Notamacropus eugenii: one gene and its partner. The protein of the gene in region 1 interacts with the protein of each later gene in a pairwise test. Links are inferred from orthologs where the notes say so. Each region holds a gene or a part of one and is shown on either strand. Other genes may lie near its edges.

The links. The genes of interacting proteins can lie anywhere in the genome.
Region 2: the proteins of ARAF (region 1) and NELFCD interact in binary tests that used the Homo sapiens proteins (3 or more experiments, as listed by UniProt). The link is inferred for Notamacropus eugenii from reciprocal best matches to the Homo sapiens genes ARAF and NELFCD.

Annotation. Positions count from the first base shown.
Region 1 is NC_092879.1:101,763,070-101,771,113, forward strand, and holds the start of ARAF (serine/threonine-protein kinase A-Raf), read left to right. Parts: upstream 1-4,975; 5' UTR 4,976-5,438; intron 5,439-7,349; 5' UTR 7,350-7,375; coding exon 7,376-7,516; intron 7,517-7,635; coding exon 7,636-7,739; intron 7,740-7,822; coding exon 7,823-8,044. Other genes in the region: olfactory receptor 3A2-like, read left to right, coding at 2,827-3,824. UniProt on the Homo sapiens protein: Involved in the transduction of mitogenic signals from the cell membrane to the nucleus. May also regulate the TOR signaling cascade. Phosphorylates PFKFB2.
Region 2 is NC_092872.1:506,007,953-506,015,233, forward strand, and holds the start of NELFCD (negative elongation factor C/D), read right to left. Parts: upstream 3,086-7,281; 5' UTR 2,841-3,085; coding exon 2,781-2,840; intron 1-2,780. UniProt on the Homo sapiens protein: Essential component of the NELF complex, a complex that negatively regulates the elongation of transcription by RNA polymerase II.

The DNA.
Region 1 (8,044 bases):
GGAGAGAAGGGGGAGGACCCAGGACCAAGCCTTGGGGGACGCCCACAGGGAGGCTCAGAAGGGGCAGTTCAAGTCAAAGAACCAAAGCAGAAGTCAAAGAAAAAGTGTGCTGAAGGACGGAGTGATCCGCAAGAGGGAAAACTGAAAAAGCCTATTGGGTTTATCATAAGAAATGATGGGTAGCCTGAGGGGCAGCAGCAGAATGATGAAGATGAAGGAGCAAATGGAAGCTAGGACAGTGGAGGCAAGAAATGAGGATGACTCTTTCTAGAAGCTTGACTGAGAAAAGGAAAAGAAATAAAAGATCTAAAGTACTGGAGGACCAAGTTCAAATTTAAGGACCAGAACAATCTTCATCCTTCTCGGGGACTCACTCCGGAATATTGGCTTTCTCACCATCATGTCCCAGGAGCCCCATCACACCAAAAGATCCTCTGGCCCTTTCTCCGATTGCTCATTTCCTCCAAGAACCTCCATTTGCAGGGACAGCCCAGGCCAAACATGTTACTCCCTCATTCCAACTCTCCAGGTCCCATGTAGGCATTTTCTCTCTCCAGCAGAACATAAGGAAGCTCTTTCAGGGCAGGAACTGGCTTTGGGCTTGTATTTGTACTTGTAGCCCTTAACACAGTAAGGACTGAATAAATGCTCCCTGACTTGTCTTGTGTACTTGTAGATAGCACAGAAGGGGAGGGATGTGAAAATGGGAGAGCTGCTGAGGATGATTCACACCCTTCCCTTCTCTGTCTGTCTCTGTCCATATCTCTGTCTCTCTTACACACACACACACACACACACACACACACACACACGCACGTGCTCCTCCCCATTCTCCAGTAGCTCCGTGTCGCCTTTAAGATCAAATATGAACATCTTTCTTTGGCTTGTGAAGCTCTTCAGAAGTGACCGCCTTCCCGGCTTTCCCTCTTCTCCCATGTTACTCTCTCCTCTGCAGTCCAACCATCGTGGGCTACTCCCTGTTCCCCACATCCATTTCCTGTCTCCACACCTTTGCACTGTCTGTCATTTGTGTCGGGAATGCAGCTCTGAAACTTTTTAAATCCTGATTTCCCTCCAGATTCAATTCAAACACCACCTTCTACCTGATGCCCTTCTGGGCCCCTCTGCTGCTAGGCCCTTCCTCCCATGATCACCCTGTATTCATTTTCTATATATTATGTGCAGAACATAAGCTCCTTGAGGGCAAGGCCTACTTCTCTTTCACTTTTCTAGCTCCAGAACTCTGCATATAGTAAGCATGTTTTCAGATCATTGCCTGAATGGTCAACAGGATGAGCTCCCAGAGGAGAGGGATGGGAAGGATGTCAATCCCAGAAGTACAGAGGGTGGACTTGGATCAGGACAAAAGCCTTTGATCAGCCATAGCAGCTACATGAGCACTCTGGCTAAACAGGCCAAGGGCCCAGCAGCCTTGTCACTCTTGAGGCCTCCAGGCCTCCATGTGCATCACTGACTGCAGTTCTTGGTTTCAGAGAACGGGGACAATCATGGTGTCAGTCCCACCTGTAGGCTTATGCTATGAATGGCCAGATTGTGGATGGCTCTGTTAGAGGAAAGTGTTCAAGAGCAAATGAGTCCTTGGGCTCAGGTGAGCTACTGAAGGGAGCCAGAACTCCACAAGTTCTGCTCGACTTATTTGTCAAGACCAGACATTGATGTGACCCCAAGGAATCCATGTCCAAATCATCTGCCACTGGCAGGAAACCAAGCCACAGCCATGATCACCTATCCGTGCCAGTGTAGCTCAGCACCTCCTCTGCACTGGACAGTCTTTGAGCTGCAGGCAGCATTGAGAAGAGGGTCACTTGCCCAGGATCACCTGACCAGCCAGTCTGTGTCAGAAGCAGGCCTTGAACCCAGGGCAGCTTCCTGGTTCTGCTGCCAGGCTTCTAGCTGCTAAGCCACACTGAAACCAAGGGCAAATCCCATCACTTCCTGGGCTTGACTTCCATATTTCTAGTAAAGAAGAGTGCCTCTTGTACTTGGCCGTTTCCTTTCCTGTTATGGCTAAGCAGTAAGAAGGAAGGAACGAACAGGAACCTGAAAGCGTTCATGCTCAGAAAATTCCCACTCTGATGCCTTCAAGGTAGAGAAAGTTCCATAAGATTTGATGTCAAAATTAGAGCCCCCAAGAACAATCAATCAGGGGTCTTGTGCAAAGCTCAGAAAACGTTTTTCCAACAATCTCCTCTATATTTCATTTTTCTATCTGCTCCCTAGTTTTCTATTCTATTTCATTCCCTTGAGAAACAAAACTCCTTTCTCTCCATACCTGTTTGGATCTGGCAGCAATCTAGCTTGAAGATGAAGATGAAGAGACATTAGGTGCAAACCAACAGGGCTGATCTTGATTTCAGTAAGACATGAGGAGACTCTGCATCCTCACTAAGGCACAGGATTCCAAGGACGTCTATAGTTGGTGAAGAGTGTTTTACTGAAAAAAGAGAGCAAAACACACATACCTGCAAATGCACATATACACACGCATGCACATATACTTATCAGCTCACCACAATGTCCACACCAGATGTGAAGAGGGATTTCCTAGAAAGGACAGGTTGGGTGGAGGACACTAGAGGTTGGAGGGACATCACATAGTCTGGGCAAAGGGTCAGGGAGTGTTGAGTGAGGCCACAGCTAGACATAGAGAGGTAGGGACAGATTTCGATGACCGCCTGAATCTGGTGGATGGGAAATGTGAGGAGAAGCCGAGATGCTGCTGAGAGCTGAAGCTTGTGGGGCAGGGAGACAATGGGGCCCCAACTCTGAGCTAACGACTCTATTGTACTGTGGCTTCTCCCTCAGCCATCTTCAATTCCAGTCATCTTGCTACTGGCCAAGAAGAAAGTCCACCCATGGACCTCCAACCTAGGTATAATGTGACAGCTGTGACAGAGTTCATCTTGTTGGGGTTGACACAGAGGTGGGAACTGCAGCCAGTCCTTTTTGTTATCTTTCTCTTGGCCTATGTGGCCACAGTTGGCGGCAACCTGGGCATCTTGGCTGCCATCTTGGTGGAGCCCAAGCTGCGTACGCCAATGTACTTCTTTCTGGGGAATCTGTCACTGCTGGATATTGGATGTGTCAGCGTCACAGTGCCCCCAATGCTAGTGCGACTTGTATCCCAAGACCAAGCTGTTCCCTTTGCTGCCTGCCTCTCTCAGCTCTTCTTCTTCCACCTGCTCGCTGGTGTTGACTGCTTCCTGCTGACTGCCATGGCCTATGATCGCTTCCTGGCCATCTGCCATCCTCTCACCTATACAACTCAAATGGGACAAGAAGTCCAGGGAGTGTTGGTGGCTGCATCTTGGGCCTGCTCACTTGGAAATGCATTGACCCATACAGTGGCACTATCCACACTTGACTTCTGTGGCCCCAATGTGGTGAACCATTTCTACTGTGACCTCCCCCAACTCTTTCATCTTGCCTGCTCTAGTACACACCTCAATGAGCTGCTGCTCTTTGCTCTGAGTATCATCATGGCAGGAGTCCCCATGGTCCTCATTGTCACCTCCTACCTGCAGGTAGCAGCTGCTGTGCTGAGGATCGGATCAGCAGAGGGTCGGAGAAAGGCCCTCTCCACCTGCAGCTCACACCTGGCTGTTGTGAGCATCTTCTATGGGGCTGGTATCTTCAGCTACATGCACCTGGGTTCCATGGAGGCCTCAGACCAGAGCAAAGGGGTTGGAATCCTCAACACTGTCCTCAGCCCCATGCTCAATCCACTCATCTATAGCCTCCGGAACCCAGACGTGCAGGGAGCCTTGCGGCAGGTTTTCACAGGGCAGAGAGTCTCAGCCTGAGGTGACCAGTGGCCTAGGCCCTTGGCCCCACTGATTTTTAAAGTCTTTCCTAGGTTCTCAGTGATCTCCCAGCTCTGTCCTCCACCTGACAACAACAGGTCCTTGCCCCTCAGCCCCCACTAGCCTAGGCTCTCATTCTTAGTGGTACCCTAAGCCTTTCAAAGGGCATCAGGCATCTCATAAGTCTTTTTTTAGCCTGAAAATTATAGGGATGAGTAATGTTGCCTGGTCTGAGGGAATCCTGAGGCTAAGGCTCCCTTCTTCATTGACCTCTCCTTAGGGGTTCTTTGTAGTCAGTCCCCATTTTTCTTCTCTCTTTGGCTGAAAACTGACAGGAACGGATCTTGACTGGAGGTGATCAGGACACTAGACTTTTTTCCTCAGTGGTTTTCCAGATTTATCATTGAGTTTCAGTAATCGATTCACTTTCCTTGACTGGACTATGACAAAATGAAAAGCAGAGCTCAGCCTGAAGCTTTTATCATTGGTGAGCAGCCTCTCCTGAGCTGCCCCAGGTCTAACGCGTCTAGAGCTCTCTTCCTTGAGGATTTCAAAACTGTGTGTGTGTGTGTGTGTGTGTGTGTGTGTGTGTGTGTGTCTCTCTCTGTCTCTTCTCTCCTCTCCTCTCTTTGTGTGTGTCTCTCTGTCTCTGTCTCTCTATTTCTCTCCCTCCCTTCTCCCTCATTTCTCTCCTCGAACCAGTGCTGAGAAGGCTGGGTGACAGACAGAGCTTGCCCTCAGGTGACCTTATCTTCCCAGGGAAACCCATGGGGGGAGGGGGAGAGGGAGAGGGAGAGGGGAAGAGAGAGAGTCCGAAATGGACAACGGGAGAGGGGAGGGGGAAGGCAATAGGAATGACGGGAAGAGGCGGAATGGAGTGTTTGCTCTAGAATTCTTTCCTGGGACAGTCAGCTCACTCAAAAGCACTCATTCCGCCACATCCTTAACCCCCGAGGCGGGTTGCAGCCCCAAGCCTGCACCACCCAGTTCTCAGTCAACTCTTTGCCCCACCTTTCTCCTGGTCGGCTTAAAGAGCCACAACCAACACCAAGACCCAGGCAGCCAATGAGCTGTCTAAGAGACTGGAGAAAGCCAATGAGAGTGCACCAACGGAGAAGTGGGAGGAGGAAGAGGAACAAGACGCTCTGACCAATCATTGCAGGCCTAGAAGGGGTGGGGGGAGAAGTAGCCAATGGACACTCGACAGAGGTGGGGCTCCCAGGATTGAGAAGGTAGAGGGCGGGGCCTGACAACTATTGAACTGAGGGAAAACTGCTCCTGAAGTGACCGATGTGCACTCGGGAGAGGTGGGGCTCCGGGAGAGTGAGGGATTGAAAGGAAAGGGGTGAACTCCCTGAGTGGCCAATCAGTGTCATCTGCCTAAGGAGGAGAAAGCATCCGCCAATGAGCATGGAATTCTGGAGGAGCGGCGGCTCCTATAGTCAATGAGATTGTGGGTAGGGGCTTTGCTGGAGCTGAAGCGACCAATGGGATCTCGACGGGGGCAGGCCTGACGGAACAGGGGCCTTGAGGCGGCCGTGGCCGGTTCCACCCTCTGGGAGAGGAAAGATGGGCCCCAAGATGGAGGAGGCCACTGTGCCAGCACCGTGACAGGTAAGACGACGCCAGGCTGAAGCCACGGTGGCCGTTCTGTATTACTTCCTGTCTTATCCCGTGCCTCCCCCCTTCACGGAAAAAGAATGGAATCTCCCGTCGCTGGGAGGGGTAGCTGGACGCAACGCGCAAGCGCGAAGGGAAGGGGGAGGGGCACGGGATTTGGTTCCTTTAAACTATCTGGCTGCTGGCGCCTGCGCACAGAGTCCCTCCCGGGGTGGGGCTATTTCCCACCCCCTCTTCACCGTCGTCTCCCCCCCAAAATCTTTCCATTCCACCTACCCCTTCTACCCCTTGCCCCTTTTTGGCGCTTGGAAATCCCCACCCACACTCGGAAACTTCGTTTTCCCTAGTGATAAGAGCTTCCTGGTTATGGCTCTTGGAGATCCTCTGCTAACCCCAATATCTAGGTCCTGCGAAGAGTTTTCAGAAATTTTCGCCTCCCCTCATCTCAGCCGCGCCTCGGCCCCCCCCCCCCCCCCCCCCCCCCCCCCCCCCCGCAACAGTCCAAGTCCCTTCGAAATGAAGGCCCAGGGACACTGGGCGCACCTGTGGGTTGTCCCCACCCACCTGGAGTCTGGCAACCACTTGAGTAGCCACTGGCTCCCCATATAAGTACTCAGGCTCACAAGGCTGACCACAGAATCATGGAAATTTCCCAGAGAGTACATACACACACAGTCACCCATGCACAGGGACACGAGGGGCACACCACCCCCCCAATCCCAAATCTTTGACTTATGATATTCCCCTGGGTGGGGCTCCAGCCAATTATAATGTCAGGGTTTGCCCTTGCTAATCACTCTGATTTTTGCTTCCTGTAGCTCTGCTCAACAGGTGCTGGTTGTTTCTCCAAGGCCCACTCACTGTATACCATAGCTCCACCTCTGTGTTCCTTTGCTGATGTCCATAGTGCTGCCATTCGCTTCCCCAGGGGCCCAGCTCTAAACATTGATCCACATGGAGTGACCACTCTGAAGTCCCTGCCTTGTCCAACTGTGTTTACAGCTGAAAGCATGTGTGAAGAACAGTTAGGGGGTCACAGCTCCCCTGTACCTTTGCAAACCTTATTTGTATTCTCGAATCCTGTGCCCCTGCCTTGGCACAACAAAAGGGCTGTTGGGGTGCTGTGGAAATGTTCCCCTCCTTGCTTTGTTCAAACATGTCTCTATCTGCAGGTTCTGGTGACTCAGTATTGTTTACTTTCTTTCCTCCCCAGCACCCAGGCAGCAGCTCTACTGCTTGTTTCTGTGGCAGCCCCACTCCCACTTCAGAGTTGGCCCCGAAATCATTTAAGCTCCTTCACAAAAGATCCCTAAGGATTAGAATTAGGGCTGGAATTAGAGGGTAGGATGGATGGCACCAGCTGTTGGGGGCAGGAATCATAGTCTCCTATCCCATCATGCTTGGCCATCTGACAGTGCTTAGAAATTTCTATCTCCACCTTTGTCAACCTCTGTTATGGGAACTAAAGATTTCCTGATCCACACACACCCTGCCCCCCAAGAGTTCAATGTCTTCTGATCTTCCCCCGCCCCAAATAGTCTTATCCCCATAAATGGTAATGAGAGATCTTGAGCCATCCCAACATCATTGTCATTCTAATGGTGCTTGCACAGCATAGGGGTCATAGGGCTAAAGCTGAGAGGGAAGAAAAGTCATGTAATCCAACCTCATCATTTGACAAAGGAGGAAACTGAGGCGAGCAGAGGTGAAGTGACTTGTCCAAGTTTACCCAGCTAATACATGGCAGAGCCAGGATTTGAACCCAAGGCTTCCCACTCCAAACCCAGCACCCTTTCTGCTGCACCAGTGTCCAGCCCACCATCATCCTTGTCCCCTCAGTAAAGTATAGAGATCTATAGCCTAGCCCATCATCGTTTCCCAACAGTGTCTTTCCCCACCTTTCAGGTCACTTGAGTGTGGGGGGGGGCAAGATGAGACGAGGCCCGACTGCCACCCCTGTGGAACCCTCCAGGGGCTTAACCCTACCTGAAGATCCTGATGCTATCCCTTTCACCAGCAATAGGGTTGGGGGCACTGTGAAGGTCTATCTGCCCAACCAGCAGCGCACAGTGGTGAGCAAGCCATCTGGGAAAGATCAGGGGCCCTGCCCAGGGAAGGAAGAAACTCCTAATCTTGGGAGCTGGGACAAGGAGGGAAACTTGGGAAAAAGTAAATCACAAGCATCTGTTAGGTAACTGCGAGAGATGGGATGACCGTCTCCGACTCACTGGACAAGGCGCTGAAGGTGCGGGGACTGAACCAAGACTGCTGCGCTGTGTATCGCCTTGTGCAGGGGTGAGCTCCCTGTTTGTCCTCCCTTCTCCCAGTTCCCCTAGCCCCCTCCTTCCCCATATGACTCATCCTCTCGGCCCCCTTAGCCGGAAGACAGCAACAGCTTGGGATGCAGCCATTGCTCCCTTGCATGGGGAAGAACTGACAGTCGAGGTCCGGGCTGATGTTCCGCTTGCAGCTGCTCACAACTTTGCCCGGAAGACCTTCCTGGCTCTCACCTTCTGTGACTTCTGCCGCCGCTTCCTCTTTCATGGCTTCCGCTGCCAGACATGTGGCTACAAGTTCCACCAACATTGCAGTGCCCGCGT
Region 2 (7,281 bases), on another chromosome or scaffold:
AAAAATTTTGAGAACTGCTGTTTTAGAGCAGGGCTTCTTAAACCTTTTCTACTCTCAACCCCATTTTGCAGGAGAAATTTTTATGTGACCCTGGGTATATAGGTATATGAAATAGATACACAAATCAAACATTTACTGATAAAATATCATAAAGTAATTTATTTTTAAAATAATTCTTTGGTATACAGATAATTTTACCATTTATTAAACATGAAAGCAAATTTGCATACTAATGAGATGCATGTGCTTATTTTTGCATAAAGAATCAAATCTTGTCAGAATATTTGATACTGCAGGATGTAGAGAATCTTCAACATTTCTTCAGAGTTGAGCAAAATTTTGATTTTATAATCATCAATGCTGAGAACACCGCTTCGCATAAATACGTAGTACAACATGGCAGAAGTATATTTAGGGCCATTTCAGAAATAGTTGGAAATTCAGTCCTAATCTCAAATCGAAACTCATTTAATGATTTTGTACACAGAGAAAAAATGCTGCAATTTATTACATAAAATAGTCTCAAATCTGAGCTGATGTGTTTCTGGCTTTCCAAAGTGCTCATGTTATGTGTTCAGAACCAAGGCTACAATGAAGCTGTGCAATGCAACACAGGAGAGTGCTGCCAGAAACACCTGGGATTTATTATGCGTTTGATTCTGAATTACTTTTTGGTTGCTGCATGTTCAGAAACCTTCTACTGTTGCTATATTTTTCACCACCCCTCACATTCAGTTATGAAACCCCATGGGGGTGGAGACCCACAGTTTAAGATGCATTGTTTTAGAGGAAAGATGCTAGACATTGCTCCTGTGCTTTGGGTTGGCAGGTAGAAGTAAGAATGTACCTTCTGAATAAACAAAGAAAAAACAAAGTCTAAAGCAATCTAGAGTGAGTAGCAATCTAAAACAGCACATCAAAAATTACTTGAATACAAGATTTAATTACTGGTCTTAATCCTTAGTATAACTAAGTGATTAATTTCCTTTCTAAAATCTTCTCTGGAAGTTACTTTTTTTTTTTTAAAAGAAACATTCTCAGGATATGGAAAGGTTGCACACTAACATCCCTGACAAGAACATGTTTAGGTTTACCTTGGTACTGTGGAAAAAGGATTTACTGCCAAATGACTGGAAAAAATAACAACTTCCTGCCATACTTCCTATAAGTAAGTCTACTTCAAAAGATCTGTGATTTTTATCAGTGTAGGTACTTCCTCCTTAGCAGCATCTCTATGCTCTTCTGGAGCTGCTGTAGTCAAGAAATTCATCAACCCATGGCTAACCTTCCAGGGAGGAATCTCTTTAAATTGACGAATTACCCATCACCTGCCCATCATGCTAGGTCCAGCCAAGGTTTCACACATTCCTTGCACAGTCTTCAAGAACGACATCAGAAGAGGCACTGGAGTAGAACTTTAGTGAAAGACAGGATACAACTGGTGTGCAAATTATGAATCAGTCCAAGGTTTAATAAAGGTTGTTTGAATGAGTAAGTCAATGAAAGGCTAGACTATTAAATCTGAAAACACCTCTTCCCTCTCCCCTTTATTGTTTTCAAATCAAACACTGATTACTACATGTAAGACTCTATGTGAATACGCTACCGTCTTCCTTAAATATAACATCAAATCAAAATCGTCTTTAATCCACTCTTTTCACCTGGAAGTAGTGTGAGGAATGGATTGTACGGGGAAGAGACCTGTCCTAAACTCGAAGAGGTGTTTCAACAAACAGCAGAATGCAGGCTCCTTGTGTACAAGAGCTGCTTCATTTTTATGCCTGTAACCCCAGTCTAATACAATGCCCGACGATAGAGGTACTTAGTAAATATTGTTGAACTGAACTGAAATCTTCAGCACCCACTACGCAGAGTACGGAGGGGACCGCAAAGTTTCAGAAGAGACAGTTCCTGTCCTTATGGGGCTTAGTTTCGTGGGGAGGTCAATCACACACACGATTCTGCGTGAGGGAGTCCTTCGTTGTTCAGCCTCGTCCGACTCTTCACGCCCCCTGGATCCACGGGCTCTTCTGGGCAGGGATGCTGGAGTGGTCTGTCAGTTCCTTCTCCAGCAGATGAAGGCAAACAGAGGTTACGCGCCTCGCCCAGGGTCACCCAGCTCCCGGGTGGCTGAGGCTGGACCTGTCCTCGGCTCTCCCGCCTCCGCGCCCTGCACTGCACACACAGCGGTTCGGTCTCGCCGCCTCCTAAGCGCACCACAGAGGTAAACAAAGGCTCCTCGGGGAAGACAAAGGCCACTGCAGGGCTGAGGGGAGGATCCGCGGAGAAGCGGCACCTGGATCGGGCTGTAAAGGTGGGCCAGCACATCCCCCAGAGCCACAGAAGGACACTGCAAGCCCGCGACAGGCCGTCCGGCAAAGAGGCGGAAAAACGGCAGGCAACGTGCAGGGCGAACGCTGCTATCTGGCTGGGGAAGGCAGTGCTGGGGAGGAAGACGGGAGGGCCTAGCGGACGGCGGAGGGCTTTGCGGTTAAGGGGCTGCAATCACCCGGGGTCGGGAGGCGAAGCCAACAGAAGACGATTTTAAGTGGGGCAGTTTTCGCCATTACAAGATTGCAATCAAGGGTTGGTAAACAACATGTGAAGCGTGCACACCCACAGAGACTGGGGCCACTGGGCTCTCCGCGGGGGTCTCCAGGCCCCATCCCGAGCGGGGCCGCCCTCTGGGGCCTCGGCCGCGGCCCAGGGCTCGGTACCGGAGGAGAGTGGAGACCTGACCATGGCGAGCCATCAATGGCCGCGCCTCGGCGTCCTCTTACCTGGGCGCCGTCGGCGTCTTCTCCCCACTCAGCAGCGCTCCCGAAGTAGTCTTCATCCATAGCCGAGGAGACACCCGCTCGAGAGTGCGCCACCGCTCGCCCAAGCGCCACCGTCAGCGCCACGCCAGCCGAGCTAGCCGGGGGTAGCGGACGAGCGGGCTTCGCTATACTCACTCCCGTTTGCGCCTGCGCCGTCGACGGCGCCTGCGCGCTGGTTCCCAGCTTGAGTAGTTTCTCAGTTGAGGTTCGCCCCCTGCTGGACGGCAACCGCGCACTAAAGCGGCGTTGAATAGCGGAGCGCTCCCAGCAAATGTCTCCAGCAGGCTTCCGTACGCTTTCCTCTTCAGTACCCGTGTTCTAAATTTGAATAGTTCCCGAGGCGCCACCTGAATCTTTCGCGGTCGGTAACTCGAGGGTGTCGGCTCTGTTCGGGTCTGTTCTCTCCGGGTTTCTCGCGGTGAGAATCCTGCGGCGGGCCGCGGTACAGAGGCCATGGCCTCCGAGGCACCCCGGACACCTCCAGCCTCGCGCTCGCGCATTCGCCTCGTCCCCCCACCCTCCCACTGGGGAATGGGGCGTGTTTTTCACGTTTATTGGTAAAGAAGCGGGCATTTCCCCGACATATTACAATTAGCCTTTCCAACAGGTTTCTTTGCCTAGATAAACCGTCACGTCCTACTTAGGGGAAGCCCTCCGCGCAGCCCCCCTGCTGTGCAGCCCCCCTGCTGTGCAGCCCCCCTGCTGTGCAGCCCCCCTCCGCGCAGCCCCCCTCCGCGCAGCCCCCCTCCTGTGCAGCCCCTCTCCGCGCAGCCCCCCTGCTGTGCAGCCCCCCTGCTGTGCAGCCCCCCTCCTGTGCAGCCCCCCTCCGCGCAGCCCCCATCCTGTGCAGCCCCCCTCCTGTGCAGCGCGGCCACTCCCCACCCTCTCATTAAAACCACGGAACAGAACACGTGTAGCCCGCAGACTGGACCTGCGGCGGAGAAGCACTTTACAAATCTAACCCGGAAAGCTTGAAACCCGTACGATACCTGGTTCTGGTAGGCATGTTTACTGTCATTCCTTCGGAAACATTTCTGGCTTTTCCATTACTGAACGGTTCGGTTTCATCTGAATAAATCTGCTCCTTTGCGCCCCTGGGATCTTGCGTTCTTGGTTCTGCTTATTCTGTTCTACACCATGAAAATCGTATGTTTCTGGTACCTTTTTTGCGCTTTGATTCACAATAATAGTCCACATTTACCTGCCGTAGGTTCCACCCCTTCCAGTCAATGGTCACCTTCTCTTTTCAGGTTTTTTCTTCCACAAAGAATGGGGTTATGAACACTTTAATATGCCAGGTGTCCCAGAAGTCTGGAGTCATTCAGAATTTAACTACATTGCACGAAGACTTTGGGGACACGCTCCTCTGTTTCTGTCTTTTAACTCCTTTGCAGAATGTAAACCACAGCAGGATTGTTAGGTTGGAGCGTACGCCTGCTCTGTTTATGTGCCACAGGGCAATCTCCAGATTTTCCCTTGCTTTCTATACCCCTTGTAAACAAAGGTCCCCAGGGGGCCTTCCTTTCCCTTGTCCATCTCCTGTTTTCTTTTGGCTGTTGTGAACAGCGCTTAAGCCAAAATCCATGACTACCTAGGTATGCTAGGTAAATCTAGTTATAACTAATTTGCTAAAGAATGGTTTGACTTAGATATTTTGCCATGAATAACAGATCCCTAGTCTTTTAAAACTGAATTTCAGGGGTTCGGCAAGTTTAGGATTTCATCCTGTACAATTCAACCAATAAAAATGGATCTGTTTGTGCTAGGATACAATTACAAATGAAAACTAGTACCTGTCCTCAAAGGGCTTCTATTTTGCTGAGAGGATGCAATATGTAAACAGATAAGTAAACACAAGATAATTTGGAAGAGGATGAGAGCACGAACATTTAGAGATGAGGAAAGATGAGCTAAGCCTTGAATGAAGCTAAGACGCCCTGGTGGGTTGGAGAATGCCTGTAGAAAGGGGAACAACCTTTGCAAAGGAAAGCAGGTGGGGGATAATTCCAAGTTTGGGAAATTGCTAAAATGTAGATTAGGTGAAGAGTACTGTGAAAACAAGCCTGGAAAGATAAACTGGAGTCAGACTGTATAAACCTTTAAAAAAAATTTTTATTGCTTTTTTTTTTTTTTTTACAGAACTTGTTTCCTCCCTATGTCTTACACACAATGAAAACCTGTTAATGCCAAGGTAAGCATTTTGTATTTTATATGAGATGCAACAGGTAACCATTGAAAATTCTTGAGCAGGGGAGTGATGTCAGATATGTGCTTTAGGAATATTATTTTGGCAGCTATGTGGATGGTACATTGGATAGGGGAGAGATTGGAAGCTGTGGATTCATTTAGGTGGCTGCTGAATAGATGAAGGAAGAGATGAATGAGAGTCTGAAGTAGGGTGTTGACCACATGTGTGGAGAAGAGAATATATGAAGGATATGGGTTGGATATAGAAATGGCCAAACTTGACAAATGATTACATATGGAAGATGAGGGAAAAGGAAGAGTTAAGGATGATTGAATTTGTGAACTTTGTTGACTGGAAGAATACCTCCAATAGAAATATGAAATTTTTGAGGAGGGTAAAGGGAAGAACATAGTAAGTTCTAATGTGAACATTTTGATTTTGAGATGCATAAGGATATCCAGGTAGAGATTTTTGGCAGGCATTTGGTGATACAGGTCTGGAGCTCAGAGGACTGGGTAGGGTTAGGAGTCATGTTAATAAAGGTGATAATCTTGAACTCCTGGGACCTGATAAGAGCATTGAGAAGTTGTAGTGAGGGGAGGGCCCAGGACAAAACCTTGGAAATAGCCACGCCATGCATGGGGATGGATAGAAAACTGGTGATAAGCCTGCAAAGGAACCCGAAGTGTGGTCAGACAGGTCAGGAGAGAATCAAAAGAGATGAGTGTCAAGAGCTGAAGAGTATCCAGAGTGATCAATGTTAAGAAAGATGAGCACTAAGAAAGACCTTTAAATTTAGTAGCTAAGAGGATGTCTTTCTTAGCTGTTAATAGAAGGCAGTTTCAGTGGAGTAATAAGGAGGGAAGCCAAGTTTGCAAGAGGTTGGGAAGCAAGAGTGAGAAGCAAAAACAGTAGAGAGTTTTTTTCTAGCAGTTTTGGCCATGAAAGGAAGTCAAGATATAGGATGATAAGTTGAGTGCATAAAGTTAAAAGATTTTTAAGGGTGAGGGGAAGAAGACTTAAGTAGGTTTGTAGAAACTGGAGAAGGAACCAGTAGATAGAAGAGATTTAAGATCATAGAAAGGGGATGACTGAAGGGACAGTCTCCTGGAGAATGAGTGGGATGATATCAAAAGAAGACAGGGCAAGGCTGGACTTGACAAAGACCACCTCCTAATTAGAGACAAAAGTAAATGAGAAAATAGAGATGAAATTGAGGGGTATTGTACTTTAGAGGGGAATCCAGGGAAGTGATGAAGGATGGCCTTGATTTTCTCTAAAGAAGAAGGTGAGGTTCTTTGAGATAAAATATGAGGAGGTGTGATAGTAGGCTTAACGAGAGGGTTTGGGACAGTTGCTGTGGGTATTGTGATAGAAAATTATACATATCTTGAGATCTGTAAATTTTTGTATTGAGAATTACATAGTGTGCCTAAATAAACTTGTATAATTTATAATGTATAACAAATTTTTAAAAGTTTCTTCTATAAGAAAAATCTTAACTGATCCGGAATGTCCATCAAAATAACTTTTCAGTTATTACTCCAAAACTTCAAACACTGTGATCTTTTTATCTTACTCCTTCCAATGATGCAGATTACAAAAAAACCCTGAAACACAGAAGTCATATTTATGCCGATCATACTTGTATATCATCTCTCCAGAGCAATCACTGCTGACAGAATAAACAATTTTTAGACTTACCAGACACATAATTCAACCTTTCAACAGATACCAAGAGCTTTGTTGAAATTGTTGTCTATCTAAAAATGTGATGGCAGAACATCAGCAGTTCTACCTTCCAGTACCTCATCAAAGCTGAAATTCTACTAGTACTTTAAGGGATTCTGGGGTATACGTTGGTAGCCAAAATAAGACATACAATATTTTAAACTGAAACATGAAATTCAAATTCTTCTGGCTGGTTGCCTACAGACCATTTTCTTTAATTCTTTTCTTTTTTTAATAGGAGAAAAATTTAATAAAAGCAATTTAAGGTCACAAAATCTAACTAGATCTGCCTCATTGTGCAAATGATTTGTCTCCACATAATATTTTGTACACTGTAAATAATAAATGGTGAGTGGATGCTTTCTACGGAAAAACTTTAAAAAGGTATTTGGGCACAATTGCTTTGATGAATCTAGAAAGTGTTAAGAATCTTTTGAAGTGAAAGCTTTTCTAACTGGCACTTTGTGTGACAGAACTAATACTGGATGGAAGTTGCAGTCAAATTTAGGTTTGATGTAAAGAAGAACTTCCTTACAACTAAAA